2 linked regions of the Alligator mississippiensis genome follow. The protein of the gene in region 2 purifies or fractionates together with the protein of the main gene of each other region. This does not show direct contact. Links are inferred from orthologs where the notes say so. Each region holds a gene or a part of one and is shown on either strand. Other genes may lie near its edges. The genes, in order: SAP18 and ACIN1.

Evidence for each region.
Region 1: the proteins of ACIN1 (region 2) and SAP18 fractionate together in Homo sapiens (co-fractionation; 7 studies listed by BioGRID and IntAct, with this or other methods). This does not show direct contact. The link is inferred for Alligator mississippiensis from reciprocal best matches to the Homo sapiens genes ACIN1 and SAP18.

Annotation. Positions count from the first base shown.
Region 1 is NC_081824.1:433,379,553-433,386,758, forward strand, and holds SAP18 (histone deacetylase complex subunit SAP18), read right to left. Parts: upstream 3,054-7,206; 5' UTR 3,007-3,053; coding exon 2,935-3,006; intron 2,856-2,934; coding exon 2,746-2,855; intron 1,574-2,745; coding exon 1,451-1,573; intron 765-1,450; coding exon 608-764; 3' UTR 196-607; downstream 1-195. UniProt on the Homo sapiens protein: Component of the SIN3-repressing complex. Enhances the ability of SIN3-HDAC1-mediated transcriptional repression. When tethered to the promoter, it can direct the formation of a repressive complex to core histone proteins.
Region 2 is NC_081830.1:7,377,845-7,384,933, forward strand, and holds the start of ACIN1 (apoptotic chromatin condensation inducer in the nucleus), read right to left. Parts: upstream 3,018-7,089; 5' UTR 2,895-3,017; coding exon 2,757-2,894; intron 1,236-2,756; exon of another isoform or gene 1,050-1,235; intron 816-1,049; coding exon 750-815; intron 636-749; coding exon 524-635; intron 1-523.

The sequences.
Region 1 (7,206 bases), on a different chromosome or scaffold from region 2:
TTAGTAAAACTAGACTTTTATAGGTCGTGTTTGCTTTGATGATAAGGAAAGATAATTACTCTTTAAAAAAAAACAACAAACAAAATGTTGTTTGGAGACTTACTTCTGGAAAGTAATCATACACAAGGATTCTCCCACTGATGCCACTGTTCACATGCTGCTAGGTAGCAAGTCAGTCAAGAAAAGCACTCTCTCTCCTGTGAGCGGTTTGTTTTTAATCAAGCTCAACCACCATTAAATCAGGCCTGATCTAGTCTTCAAACTCAGAAACATGTTCAAAACAATAATAATGTTATTCCACTCTACATGGCTTTTAACAGAATGGTAAGAGCACTTCTAAGCTCTCAGTCACATTTTACATAAATCTTGAAACACTGAACATTTCTATTCACTTTTCATATCATAACAGCTAGGAAAGAAGAGATAACAAAGCAGATTCAGATACTGTTTCTTTTAAACTCACGCAGTAAAATTAATTATTTAACTCTTGTTGTCAAGGCTTAGAAGTGTTTTCAGATCTTGCTTAGCAATAGTAATAAAAAAGGCCTGTTTCCTACAGCATGTGAAACCCACTGGAAGATACAGTCATCTACAAAAAAATGACACTTTAATATGGTCGCATGCGGCTTGATGGGGGTGGTGCCCGATTTGGAGGCGTAATTGCTATATCCAAGTAGTCCCCTATCTGGAATTTCTGAGACTGCAGCGTCATGGAATCATCTGTGCCCTTTCTTCCCGACATCGTACTGCCAATTTCTTTCACCCTGAAGGGAAGATATGAAACGTCATTTCATTACACAACAAAAGAGCAAGTCAGTCTCTTTTTAATGTCAGAGAGATTTGCAGACTAAACAGGATCTGAAGGGGATGAACTGTTAAGTTTTTCCTCAGTTAGTGGGATACAAAGACGTTGCCTCCCTTCTTAATACAGTATTAGCTGTTTCTCTGATACAACACTAGACATAAAATAAGTAAATAAAGTTGCATCAACTTTTCCCCTGTCAGAGCTTGAAGTATCTGGCAAGTTAGACACAAGAGAAGTGGTAAAGAAAATGCAAGAAATATAGCAGGACCCAAGCCCCTGCTTTTTCAACTAGTTTCTGGTGAGCTCATATAAAAACTGTCCCTATCCAGTTTTAATTAAAAAAAATAAATTTGTGCTAAGAGCAAACTCTTGATGGTGATACAGTTACTACCCTTACTACCAGAAACAGCCTTTTTGTTTCCACTCCTATCTACAGGCGCGTATTCTGGGTGGCAGATAATCTAGTGACCAACATCTTTAGGCAAACACTTCTCAGTGTTTTAGAAAAGAGAAACAGGAATAGTAACTGAAAAAAAAAAATCAAATATTAACAAGCGATTGCCATGCACTCTGTTACTATGAAGAACTTCTCTCATACAACATGGAACATAAACTGTTACTGCAAATAAGACTTCAGTCAGTTACCTATAACCAGGTCTCTTGAGATCTGTAAAAACAATGGCAAAATTGAAATGTGTTCCCTTTTTCCGTGCTTCTGGATAGACTTCTTTCACTAAACTTGTCAGCTCCTTTAAAGTTGCATCCATCCTAGATTTTAAAAAGAAAAAAAAATCATTAAGGTGGGGAGGGTTTCTTTTTTTATTTGAAGTTCTTAAAAATCTTACACTTACTAAAAATGTCATCTGTGAGACTTTTTGTCTAAATCATAGACAACTCTAAAAACACCTCTCTCTTGCATAACTCAATACTTTTATGTATTTAAATGACACAAGAAGCATTTCGTGGTTAAGTATTTTGGGTTTTGAAGTATTTTCCTTTCAACATTCAAAGTATTCAAAACATGTCCAGGATGAGTACTCACTAGTAACTAGAACACCTGCTAGGATATCCCCTCCCTCCCACCCCCCAAACATGTAGTGATCTCATACTCAGAAAGTCTGGGGTCTAACCCTGGCTCCGCTCCAAACTGCCGTGACCTCTCTACCCATTTTCTAGTCTACTTCAGAACACAGTTCTTTAGGGCACTGACCTGGTTTTATACATTTATACACTACAGAGCACAAAGGGATCTTCAGCTGACAGCAATAAAACCACTTATTTTTGTATTGTTTTTTAAACCCTTACAAGAGAGACTAAGGAAGTGAAAAAAATAACTAAAAAAAAGAGGGAGAGAGAGAGAGATGTCAGGCAACTTGCACAAGGAACCCATCAGTCTTTGCTAGGGTAGGTGCAACTGACCAACCCTCCCTCCCTCCCCCCCAACTCCATGAACAAGGAGGGCTTAGCCCTGACACTTAACAAGACTCCTAACACAGCTCTCGTCTTCTAAGAGCGCAGACACAAGTGACACTCTTCATCCGACGCGGACACAGAAAGCAGGCAACAGCCGTGACCAAACACAAGCGCATGGCCGCAGACTGCTTTGAAAATGGCCGAAAAGGGGAAAAACCTGAACCCTCGCTGCATGAGGGGTCAGATAAAGACATCTGAAGGCAGAGCGTCTTCTGTGACATCTGTCTGCACCGCCTCCCAGCCCCTTGCTGTTTCCACAATGGGAGGGGGGTGGGAGTGGAAGGGGGTTATCCAGCCCCCAGGTGTGGGGGGCTCCAATACACCTGCCCAGCTCCAGCGCCAGCCCCGAGAACGAGCCCCCGCTGATCCTTCCCTCCCCCCTGAACCGAGAACAGGCGGGGAGGGGGGGGGACTCCCAGTCAGCAGCAGGCGGCGCGGGGCGGGCAGGGCCGCGGGGGGGCACGCACCAGGTGTAGATCTGCAGCTCGCTGGAGGGCACGTTGCCGCGCGAGAACTCGTCCATGCGGTGGTGCCGTCCGTTGTTGGTGGTGAAGACCCGCAGCAACAACGGGCACGTCTGCAAGGCGAGCACAGCCCGTCAATGCCGCCCGCGGCCCCTCTCCGCCCCGCCCCGCCCGGCCCGGCCCCGCCGGCACCTTCTCGCGGTCGATGGGCTTCTCCGGCTCCTTCTTGATCTCCTCCTGCGTGACGCGAGACTCAACCGCCATCTCGGCTCCGGCCTCCAAGGAAGTTACCCGGATGTCTGGGGTGCAGCCTCAACTGCCCCTCTCGCGAGAGCTCGCGGGAGGCTGGATGGGGATCGTACGCATGCGCAGCAAAGAGAAGGCGGGGCGGGCGTCCGCACGCGCGAGGGAGGGGAGAGGGAGGATCGTTCTACGCATGAGCAATTCACAGTGGCAAACGGGGAGATGGTTCGGCGCATGCGCAGTTTACAGGGACAGACCTGGTCTGCTGGGTGGGGTTTCGTGCCCAAAGGGGGCGTGGTTTGGCCGTGAAGGGGGTGGGGCCTGGTGGAAAGCATGGGGGGGGGGGGCAAGCAACGTGCTCCTGAGCCTGCAGGCAGGCAGCAGAGCAGGGAGAGGCCCCACTCACCAGGGAAGCACATAGCCTGCAGCTGGTTTCAGGGTGGCTGGGGTAGTGCTGGCTCATGTGGACCTCACACGTCCTCCGTGATGGCCTGTTGCCTCAACACGTGACATGGGAGCAAGCAGAGGTGTCACAAGTGCCTGCCGTGCCCTGGGCGGAGTGCCAGCAACTGGTGCACCAGGGCTGAGGGGTGTCTTGCCTGCGCCAGCCTCCCCATGCTGTGGTGTCAGCTGCTGCTGTAGCTGAAGGGCAAGCTCCCCGCACACCAGCCACAGCAGGGGCACCAGTGACCCCCTGAGGGAGTCTCCTAGGACAAGCACAGCCCAGGCCCAGAAGCCTTTGCAGGATTTCATAGATTTCATAGACATTAGGGCTGGAGGGGACCTTGGAAGATCTTGAGTCCAGCCCCCCACTCTAGGGGCAGCAAGTCAGCTGGGGTCAAAGGATCCCAGCAAGATAAATGGGGGGCAGGCCAGCACCCAATCTGTATGTGTGGGGGGGGGAGCAGAACGGCGTACGCCCAAGGGCACGTTGCCATGGGAAGTATAGCTCCTTGCCCAGGAACGTATCTGGAGGGGGTTGGGCAGTGAACAAGGTACTGAGATAGCCCCAAGGAGCTGCAGCTGGATGTCATGTGCTGGCTGCCCCCACAGCACAGGCTGCCCAGGGGCTGCTCCCGGTGCCTTGTGCGCAACCCCCCCCACCCGCTACACTACTGAGCCAGAAGCTGTACCTCCCTTAGCAAAAATCCCAGGGGCCTGCCAGGCTTCTGTGCCTGGGGTTTGCCTACCCTAGCAAAGGCTCTGGGGATGGGGGTGTTTTGGTAATTCCTCGAAGTGAATGCTCAAGGCAGGTGCCCTGCTGCCACCACTAGTTATGCTAGTAGGAGTCACAGGACACCAGTTCTCTCTCAAAGGCCAGGGGAAAGGCATCCACATTAAATTCCATTCCAAGTGGATGGTGCAGTTCTTTGATTTCTCTTCTCTTACATGCCATGATGAACAGTGAAATAGTTAACAAAATGTTGACAAATGACTAAATAGGCTTCTGAGCCTGCCTCTGTGGGTTCAAGGCAGTGGTAGTTTGTAGGCTGGGGCGGACAATTATTTTGGGCGGAGAGCCACTTACTGAGTTTTGGCAAGCCATCGAGGGCCGCATGACAGGCAGCCAGGGGCAGATAAATATTAATTTTCTAAACTTTTTAGGGGCCCCATGGGCTGGATAGAATGGCCCACAGGCCACATTTTGCCCACCCCTGTTGTAGGTAGAATATGCAGGGCTGTCAATGATATTTTTCATTTTTGTTTTGCAATGTATAATACATTATGTTGCCTTTTACCTGAATCCAGCCAAGTTCCTGGTAGTTTTGTCTTAAGGCATCATTGTTATTTATTGGTGGACTTCACTGGTAGACTTCACAGGCTTTAAAGAGACTTGTTTAAATGGGAAATGTAGAAACACTTCTATATACTAAGTAGTCTTGTATCTGTCACTTCTGTCACTTGCTGATGAAGTTTAACTGATGTTCTGAAATAGCTTCCTACATTTGTTCTGCTCGGTTTCATGTTTGCAAATTGATTCTCAAGCTTTGGGGGCTAAATCATCTCCAACATTTTCTAATATATGGAAAAGCTTATAAGAAGCTAATGTGATTTATGCTTCTAGAACAAGACAAAATTCTCTAAGGGGTAAAGATTTTAACAGATGTCTACAGCAGATAACTATGTAGCAATAAAGTGCTTTAACTACAAGTAGTTTAAAAATAAATTGGATTTCAACAAATCATTTAAAATGTTCCCATAATATCACAGACTAGAACAACCAAGTCCATATGCTATCTATTTTATACCCTAGTTTTTCCAATAATTTAACATTGCATCATGTCAGTCTTAGATCAGCTGTTGTGCTCTGCCAAGTGGAACACAGAAACAGGATAAATGTATGTTTCTGGTATGAGGATCAGAAATAAAATAACTACGCTCATATCTTCATAGTAGTGATGATAACTAGGCTCAAGAGGGTGAGAAAAAAAACTTCACACTTACAAGTTGATTTAGAAAAAATTAAAAGAACCATTCCATTATCATCATAGTCTAGCATATTTTCTTTTCTAGATCATTCTTTGTAACAATTTTGTGCCTCCTCACCTACCACACATTTATGATAATCCTGCAAAGGCTTATACTCTTCCTTAACTATGCACTCTGTAAGGAGAACTACTCTCAAAGCATAAAGCTAAGAATGTGCATGATTCCAGCAAAACCAGAGCTTTAGAGAGATGCAATAAATGAACCTAGTTATGTTATGTCTCCTGTTTAGCAACAGGGGCTGGCATTTTTACAAGGGTGCTCCTGCAATACCTACATATCTAAAGCACTGATAAACTAAAGTGCTTCCCTGAATAAGCCTGTACTTGCGCTTATCTGAATCAGGTACCTAACACTACTGGAAAATATATGAAATATGTTGTGCATTTTTTAAAAGTAGCCTGTGATCTCATCATTGATTATTATAATACACATGCATAAAGGTGTAGAGCTACAGTTTGTACTTTTGCACTTGCATTTCTAGGACTCAGGACAGTCAAACAAAATGGCCAAACAGTCAAAAAAAAATTTAAAATTCCTTCCCTACCTTCAGGTCTTTTACACACATCATAAAGAAGAAAAAAGAACCCAGTTTATTTTTTAATTATCTCTAGCTCTCTGTAATGTAATATCAATACAAACTGAGTTTTTAATTTTGATTTATACCACTGCTAAAATAAGACGAGAGAACCAACAAAACCTAAGTTAGTGTACCCTCGCTCCTCTCCCTTCCTTTTGTGAGAGATAATATTGACAAAGAAGCCAACCCTATGGTATGAAGTTATAATTATCACTTGAATTATCAAAGGAAGTAATTCAACATCATTGCCATCTGTAGGGTGGAATTTCCAAGACAACAATGCAACTCATTACACTGTTAAAATGAGTTATATCTGGCCCAGTAATACATGTTTAGGCCTTAATACACAGACCTCCATTTGCAAAACTTAAGGAATGTATGCTTAGGATCAGGTATCATAAAAGAACAGCTGCAACAAATACAGCACAGCTATGTTCAAACTACAAGGGAGACGTGGCGAAAGGGACCTTACAGTGGGTGTCTACTACAGACCACCCAACCAGGGGGAAGAGCTAGACCAGGACTTCTCCAGTCAGCTTATGGAGGCGGTTAGGTCAAGGGATGTTATTGTCATGGGTGACCTAAACTACCCAGACATTTGCTGGGAGGAGCAGACAGCCAGGTCTGACTGCTCGCGTAGGTTCCTGGCTGTATTACAGAACCTTCATCTTATCCAGGAAGTGCACAGCCCCAATAGGGGTAATGCCTTGCTGGACCTGGTCCTAGCCAGAGAGGTGATACTCCCCCTCTATGTGACTTTGGTCAGACCGCAGTTGGAGTACTGCGTCCAGTACTGGGCGCCGCACTTCAAAAGGGATGTGGCCAGCCTGGAGAGGGTTCAGAGGAGGGCCACCCACTTGGTGAGAGGGCAGCAGGACAGGCCCTATGAGGAGAGACTGAAGGACCTGAATCTGTTCAGCCTCAGCAAGAGGAGGCTGAGGGAGGACCTGGTGGCTGCCTACAAGCTCATCAGGGGGGATCAAATAGGCAGAGCTTTTTTCTCCCCAGCACCACCTGGGATGACAGGGAACAATGGTCATAAACTGATGGAGAACAGGTTTAGGTTGGAGATCAGAAGGCAAGATTTTACAGTTAGGGTGGCCAAAATCTGGAACCAGCTTCCCAGGGAGGTGGTCCTCGCCCCTACCTTGGGC
Region 2 (7,089 bases):
TGTTCATCCTCCCCTAGACAAGCCAACCCTTCCTCTTTCTGGATCCCTCCCCTCTAAACGTCCTTCCAGGACCCATGACTGGGCTGCTACTTGACCTAAAGCCATGCCAGCCCCTTCCTCCTAGTCTAGGTGGCAACATCCACATCAGTGACTAGAAAAACAAGGCTGGGAAGGGTCCAATGATAAAACCAGATACCCAATGAATAGGTTTGGTGCCCAATCAATCACAGGGCCCTGCTTTCCCTGCTGCCCTCTGGCACTAACTATAAAGAAACGAATATTCCCGCTGGTTAGGGCTTGGAGAGATTCCAGCCAAAAGAAAATCTCTGTTTGTTTGGGAAGGGAGGAATGGAAACAATGGGGGAGGGGCTCTTTTGAGTCAATCATAAGAACCTATTTCTCCTGCAGTCAGGCCCCGAAGAAGCCCAATGCCCACTGGCTGAGCAGACATGTGAGCCCCAGCCAATTGGAAGTACCCATTCCTCCACCCCACAGCTAGGCTCTGCCCCAGCCCCACACTCACCCTCCAGCTCAGCTGCCTCCCTTGCCTCTCGTTCCAGCCGCTGCTGTAGCAGCTCCTGCTGCTTCTCCAGGTATTGCTTGATGAAACTGTTCTGGCTCATCTCCTCACCAATCTGCAGGGGGATGGGATGGGACAGGACGCGTGAGCAAGGCCGGACACCTGAGTTTCCCCCCCTCGGCTGGGGTCCCTGGCGGTTCGAGAGGCTGGGGGTGAGGGGGCCTCTCACCTGCGAGTTGGGCTGGAAGGTGGTGTGTGGTGTTGAATGCTTCTGGAGGTTCTCGAGCATCAGTGCCTGGGGCAGGGAAAGGGCAGGGTCAGAGATGTGCCCCCAAGATGGTCCCTGTGCCTTCTCCCCCTCCCCCGGTGCCCATCATTGGATTGCTCACATATGCCATCCAGGCTGCCCTGCATGACCTGAGCTGATCCACCCCCAAGTCTAGCACCCAATGCAATGCAGCCGTGTCCACCCAAACCTCCACAATCCAACACACCCCCAGTATCTACCCCAACCCATGATCCGACTCACCCAGGATCCCGGCCCCAATACTCCAGGCTCTGACCTGCCCCCAAACCCATCCGTATCCAATACTTGCCCCGACACACGTCACCACCCACGCTGACCCTCAGGCCACAGAACACGAAGCATGTAAATCCATCTCTACACCTTTCCCCCATGTCTCAATCCAGCTGACCATATCTGCCCTGACTCGCCCTTCATGACTCAATCCAACCCACAGCTTGCAGCCATCCCGACCCCCCTCATCCAACCCACCCCAACCCCCCGATCCAACAAAGTGCCCCAAGGCAACCCCAAACCCCTCCTTCCCCAATCCAATCCAGCCTCAAGACAACCCCAACCCTCCCACCAATCCAACCCATACCCCAGGTTCACTCACCCTTCCCCATCCATTCCTCCCCACAGAAGCAATGACCCATTCCCCCATCCAGCCTAGTCCACCCACAACCAGGTGCATGACCACAGATCCACTGTGCCCCAGATAACTCCCCCACTGGGCCTACCTCCACCACCAAGCAGCCCTAACATCTTCCTCCCCCCTGCCCTCATCTGACCCCCTGCTCCTGCCCAGCCCCAGCCAATGCCCAAGCCCCTGCCACCCAGAACCCCGTCAGCTGGATGCCAGAGCCTGCTGCCCCCCACGCTCAACTCCAGCTCTTCCTGTTGCCCAGCTGAAGCCCTTGGACATTGCAGCCCTGTGTTCTACCAACCACGCGCCTGTGGGCCCTGGCCTGGCACCTTCCAGCCCTCCATGGGGGTCTGGCCATACCAACTGGGGGAGCCAGGTCCCCAAACCAATACCCCTTACAGGACCCCTAGCCCCACATAGCCCCTCCAAGCCTCCTTAGACCCTCCAGGCCCAGCCCCTGAACTTATGTACCCCCTCCAGGCCCCCCTGACACCTTCAGCCTCCTCCCCATGGACCCCCCCTAGACCCTTTAGGCCTAGGGTGGCCATCGTAAAGGACATTCCAGTTTCCTGCTACTCTGTCCTCTATTGATACAAAACCCTATGCGCCTTTATATCCTCTATTTTTCTCTTCAATAGAGGACATCCAGACTGCCTTCTATGATGTCCACCCAGTCCCCCAAGTCTGCAGGCAACTCCCATGGGCACCTTCAGCACCCCTGCCCACACAGACCCCCAAAGTCCCAGCCCCTCACAGACTTCCCCAGACCAGCCAGGCGCAAACCCCCAACTCTGTACAAACTCCTGCAGCCTCCACAACCCTCTCCAGTCCTACAGACCTCCCCGGCTGCAGCCCCCACCCCCGGGACCATTCAGGCCACCCAGCCCTGCAACTCTGCAAGAAATGCCCAGCCCGATAGACACCTGCAGCCCCGCCAGCCCCCCGCCACTGCAACACCCCTAGACCCCTGCAGCCTTTTCCAGCCCCCCATGCATTCTACAGGCTACAGCCCCCAACTCTATAAACCCACCAGTCCCCAGCAACACTTTTAGTACCCCACGGCCCCTAGGCCCCACAGGGCCCGGCCTATCCCCCCAGCCCTGCGAGCCCCGCGCATGCGCACTCGGCCCCACGCCCTCCCACCCCTGGACCCCCTCATTCTCGGGGGGAGCCCCGCGCCCCGCCGCGCATGCGCACTTGCCCCCGCCCGCCGCGCCCGGGCCCCCCACTCCAGCCGGTTGGGGGGGAGGGCTCCCCGGGCGCATGCGCGCTGCACCCCGTGCCGCCTCGCGCCGCCGCCGCCTCACCCCGCGCAGCCGCTTGACCAGCGCGCTCTTCTGGCCGCTCTTGGCCAGACCGCGCTGCTCCAGAGCCGCCTTGAGGTCTGCGACACGCAGCATGTGGAGCGGCCTCCCGTCCAGAGTCACCTCCTCCCCGTCCGCCATCTTGTGTGGCGCCGCTGCCTTCCCTCCGCCCGCTCCGGCGGCTTCCGGACCCGCTCGGCACCTTCCGCACTAGCCTCGGCACCTTCCGGACGCGCCTCGGGCCGCGCTCGGCTCACCGCTACCCGGTCTCGGCCCTTTCCGGCGTTCCTCGGCTGTCTCCGCCCACCCGGAAGTGCCCGCGTCGGATGTTTCCGCCCGCGCCTCGGCTCCTCGGGGGTTTCCGTGCTCCGCTCGGCCCCGCACACCCGGAAGTGAGCTTCGGCAGTTTCCGGGGGCGACTCAGGGAAAAGGGAAAAGGGGGGGCGGAAGGAGCTCGGGCCAACCCGGAAGTGAGGGCCAAAAGCGCTCGGCTACTTCCGTCAGTGCTCGAGCAGCTTCGGGCCCTGCCGGAACGCGCCCATTGGTTCCCTTGGTGTGATTTCTTCGGGCATTTCCGGACGAGCTCGGGCCTGTCCGAAGCCAAGAGGGAGACCCCCCCTACTTAGTAGAGCAGACCGGAAGTTGGCCGTTTCCATGGGACCAGCAAGAAGTTGCTGCCTTGTGTATGTAGGGCCTACAGGAAGTTCCCGGGTCCCCTCTTTCCATGGGGCCAGCAGGAAGTTGCCCCCTTGTTTGTGTAGGGCCTACAGGAAGTTCCCCATTTACATGCAGCCAACAGGAAGCTGGGTGCTTGGGCAGCCAGAAGAGCCCACTCAGTGCCACACACACACACATTACCCCCCACGTCGCAAGATGGGGCCCCCCGTTTTCATCAAAGCCTCTTCTGTTGAAGTAGCGCCTACAGGAAGTTGGCATGTTGCCGCCCGCCTTAGGAAGTTGGGAGCTTGGGGAACCAATAGACCAGTAAGAAACCCCTGCTCTGCCCTTGGGGCCCAAGTGGTGTCCTCATTCCATCAAAGCCAGTTGTGTTTGCAGGGGTGCTGTCTGTTGACATAGGGCCTGCAGGAAGTTGGCCTGTTTGGGGCCAAGTGTGGGTTGGCAGCTTAGGGGATCAATAGGAGTCCCCACCCTGGGTCTCAGAGCCTGGGGTTGTCCAAAGCCACTTGCATTTACATAGATTCTACAGGAAGTCACTTTACTGATATGGGACCTGTAGGAAGGGGCCTGTTTCTCTAGACCTGACAAGCTGACAATCAGGGCAACCAAGAGCCCAGTAACACCCCTGCTGGATCTTCAGCAGAGTCCTGGCTTCCCCAGAACCACTCCTGTGTACATAGGGCCTGTAGGAAGTTGCCCTTCATTTATGTAGGGCTTACCTTAATTCACCAGCCATGAGGCGCCAGTGGGGCCGGGTCCTAAGGGATCTCCACCCTCCTCCTTGGGATCTCCTTGATTCCACCCGAGCCCCCTGTTTACCTAAGACCTACAGGAAGTGACTGAGCACTGAGTGGAGTGCATGGCCTCACCCCCACTTTGGGTATCCCCTGCGAAAGAAGGACCCCAGTTAGGGACTCCAGAGTCCAAAGAGAGGAGGGAAAGAGGAGCAGGAATACATTGGCTTGATTAGGAATGACAAAGGGCCATGAATGGGTGCACAGCACCCCCGTGTGGTCTTTTCTCAAGGCTGCAATGGGAGGAGATGCCGGGCACCTGGGCTCTCGCTTCAGGTAGGGGAGTGGACTGGAATCAGTCTGTGTTTGTGTGCGTGGTGGGGGTCGGGGGTGCTGGGACGCCTGGGTTCTTTCTCCCAGGTCTGGGAAAGGAGGGAGGCCTGCTGGCTTGGAGTGGGGGATGGGAGCAGAGCTAGCGCTCCTGGGTTCTCTCCTAGCTCTATCCAAACCCAGGACTTGGAGGGGGGGCAGGGTAAGACAGAGACACCATGAACCCCAGGGGCTCCCCCTCCCCCAGCAGCTGTCCCTTCTGGCTGGGGGTGGGTCCCTGTCCCACTAGAGACTGCATGGGGGAGGGGCAGTCAGCCTTCCTCCCCCCCTGCATGTGAGGTCTCAGGATGTGGGGACCCCCACTATTGAGCCCAGCTTGGGGGACACCAGCCATGGGTGGGGGGCTGGGTGTGGGGCCTATTTAGATATAGGGCCGGGGTGGTCCTCAGGCCAGCAGACCATGGGGAGGCAGGGGCCCAGTAGTGCCCATGCCCAGGGCTTGGGGGTGAGGGGGATTTCGCAAGCGCTTGGGGGGGCCCCGGTTACGCCATGGCCCCGGGGTAACGGCCTGTTTCTCAAGAGTCCGTAATCAGCTCCACTCACCTTGAGCTGCTTCCTGCCCCAGGGGGGGGCGTGGTTTGGGGGGAGGGGATGCCCTGGGGGGGAGGGGGCAGCTTGGAGCCCTGGGGGTAGAGAGGCGGGAGGGGGGCAAATATGGAGCTCCCCAGCTAGGGGTGCCCCAGCCTCCCTCCTTCCCCCACACACCTTCCCCCACTACCCTCCCCCGCACCGGGCCGGAGGTTGGGACACCGACCACGGGAAACCATCCGGCCTTACACAACCCCCTGGTTTTGGGAGGGAGGGTAGGGTGCACTGAACCCAGGCATCTGTGACAGCTCTCTCACAGCACACAACCCAGCTTCTGCAGGACCCAGGAGTCTGGGTCTGGTCTCACACTCCAGGGAGGGAACCCTGCTGTCTGAGATACAATTGTTCCAAAGGAAAGAATAGGACCCAGGCATCCGGGCCAGGGTTGGTCACTAGCGCCAAGTCTGGGGGGCCGTGGCTGAGCATACAGGACCCACTCTGCAGTGATGCCCCATCACAACAGCAAGCAACAGGGATATCCTTGCATGAGGAACAATAGCGAGCAGACAATAGTGAACACGACAGAGGCACTATGCTCAGAAAGCAGTCGTGTCCTGAAAGCACAAGTGAGCAGCATGCAACAGGCATGAGTGCAGAGCGAGCGTGCCATGGAGCCATGGTGAACAAGAGTGAATAGGGCAGGGCAATTGTGAGCACAGAACAAACCATGAGGAAGCTGCAGATGCATGCATCACAACAGTCATGAGCGCAGGAGAGGACCAGCACCAACAGTTTTCATTATGGGATAATGATACAACACAACCGTCGTGAATAGTGAGGTGTTCAGAATAAGAGTACCACACCACAATAGAGAAAAGCAAATAGCTGGGGCATGATTATGGTCACAGACTAACCATGCCACACGCAAGTGAACAGTAGATAAGTGAGAGAGAACAATGGGGCCACTTGATAGTGAACAGCAAGTGCTGGGACACGGTAATAGCAATCAGAGAATAATAATGCCACCCCACCTATAGTGAACGATGGGGACAGGATGCTGGTCAATTAACAATGCCATAGCAGAGAAGCATGACACAACAGTGGTGCTCAGAGAATAACATAGCCACGTAATAGTGAACAGCAAAAGCTAGGGCATGTCAATGGCGATGACAGAACAAGATCACCACTCACCACCAGCGAAGAGTCCATGATTGTGACCACAGCAGAAAAGCGTGACCCCATGATGGCAACTGGATAATGGGGCCACCCACTAGTGAACAATGAGAGCTGGGACACGCCAACAGCAATGGGAGAATCACAGTGCCACACAAGAACACACGCCAAGTCACTGTTGTGCAGAATGGTTTCATCGTGGGATAATGGTGCAATGCAACAGTAGTAAACGGTGAAGAATGGATGCGGCCATGACGAGCCCAGAATAGCGATGGCAATAGTGAACAGGGGATCATTGCACAGTGGTGATCAGCGTCATACTGCCACGTGATAGTGAACGGGGAGTTGGTGACACCACGATGGCAATTGTGGCATAACTGTGCCATGCAATGGTGAACAGGCAGGAAGCAGAGGCAGGATGGCATCTTGGAGACTAACTGGCGCAGATCTTCATGAGCTTTCAAAGGCCACAGGAAGTGAACAGTGCATGGGTAATGACATCACAACAGTGATCCCAGTGTGAAGGAGTCCGGGACAGCAGAATCACAACAGTGACAGCAGCATGACAGCGCCACTCAGTAGTGACATCATGGGGAAGGTCACAGCAATGGTACCATACAAAAGTGAACAGGAAATGACATCACACCAGTGATTATAGCATGACAGTGCCAGGCAATAGCGAACAGGAAATGTGTGATGCAGTGGTGATCGCAGCACAGTCATGCCACTCCATCATAGGCAGGGAACTCGTGACACCTCAGCATTACCGTGCCACACAGTGGCGCACGGGGAATGACAACACAATGGTAGCCGCAGCTTGACAGTCCCATGTA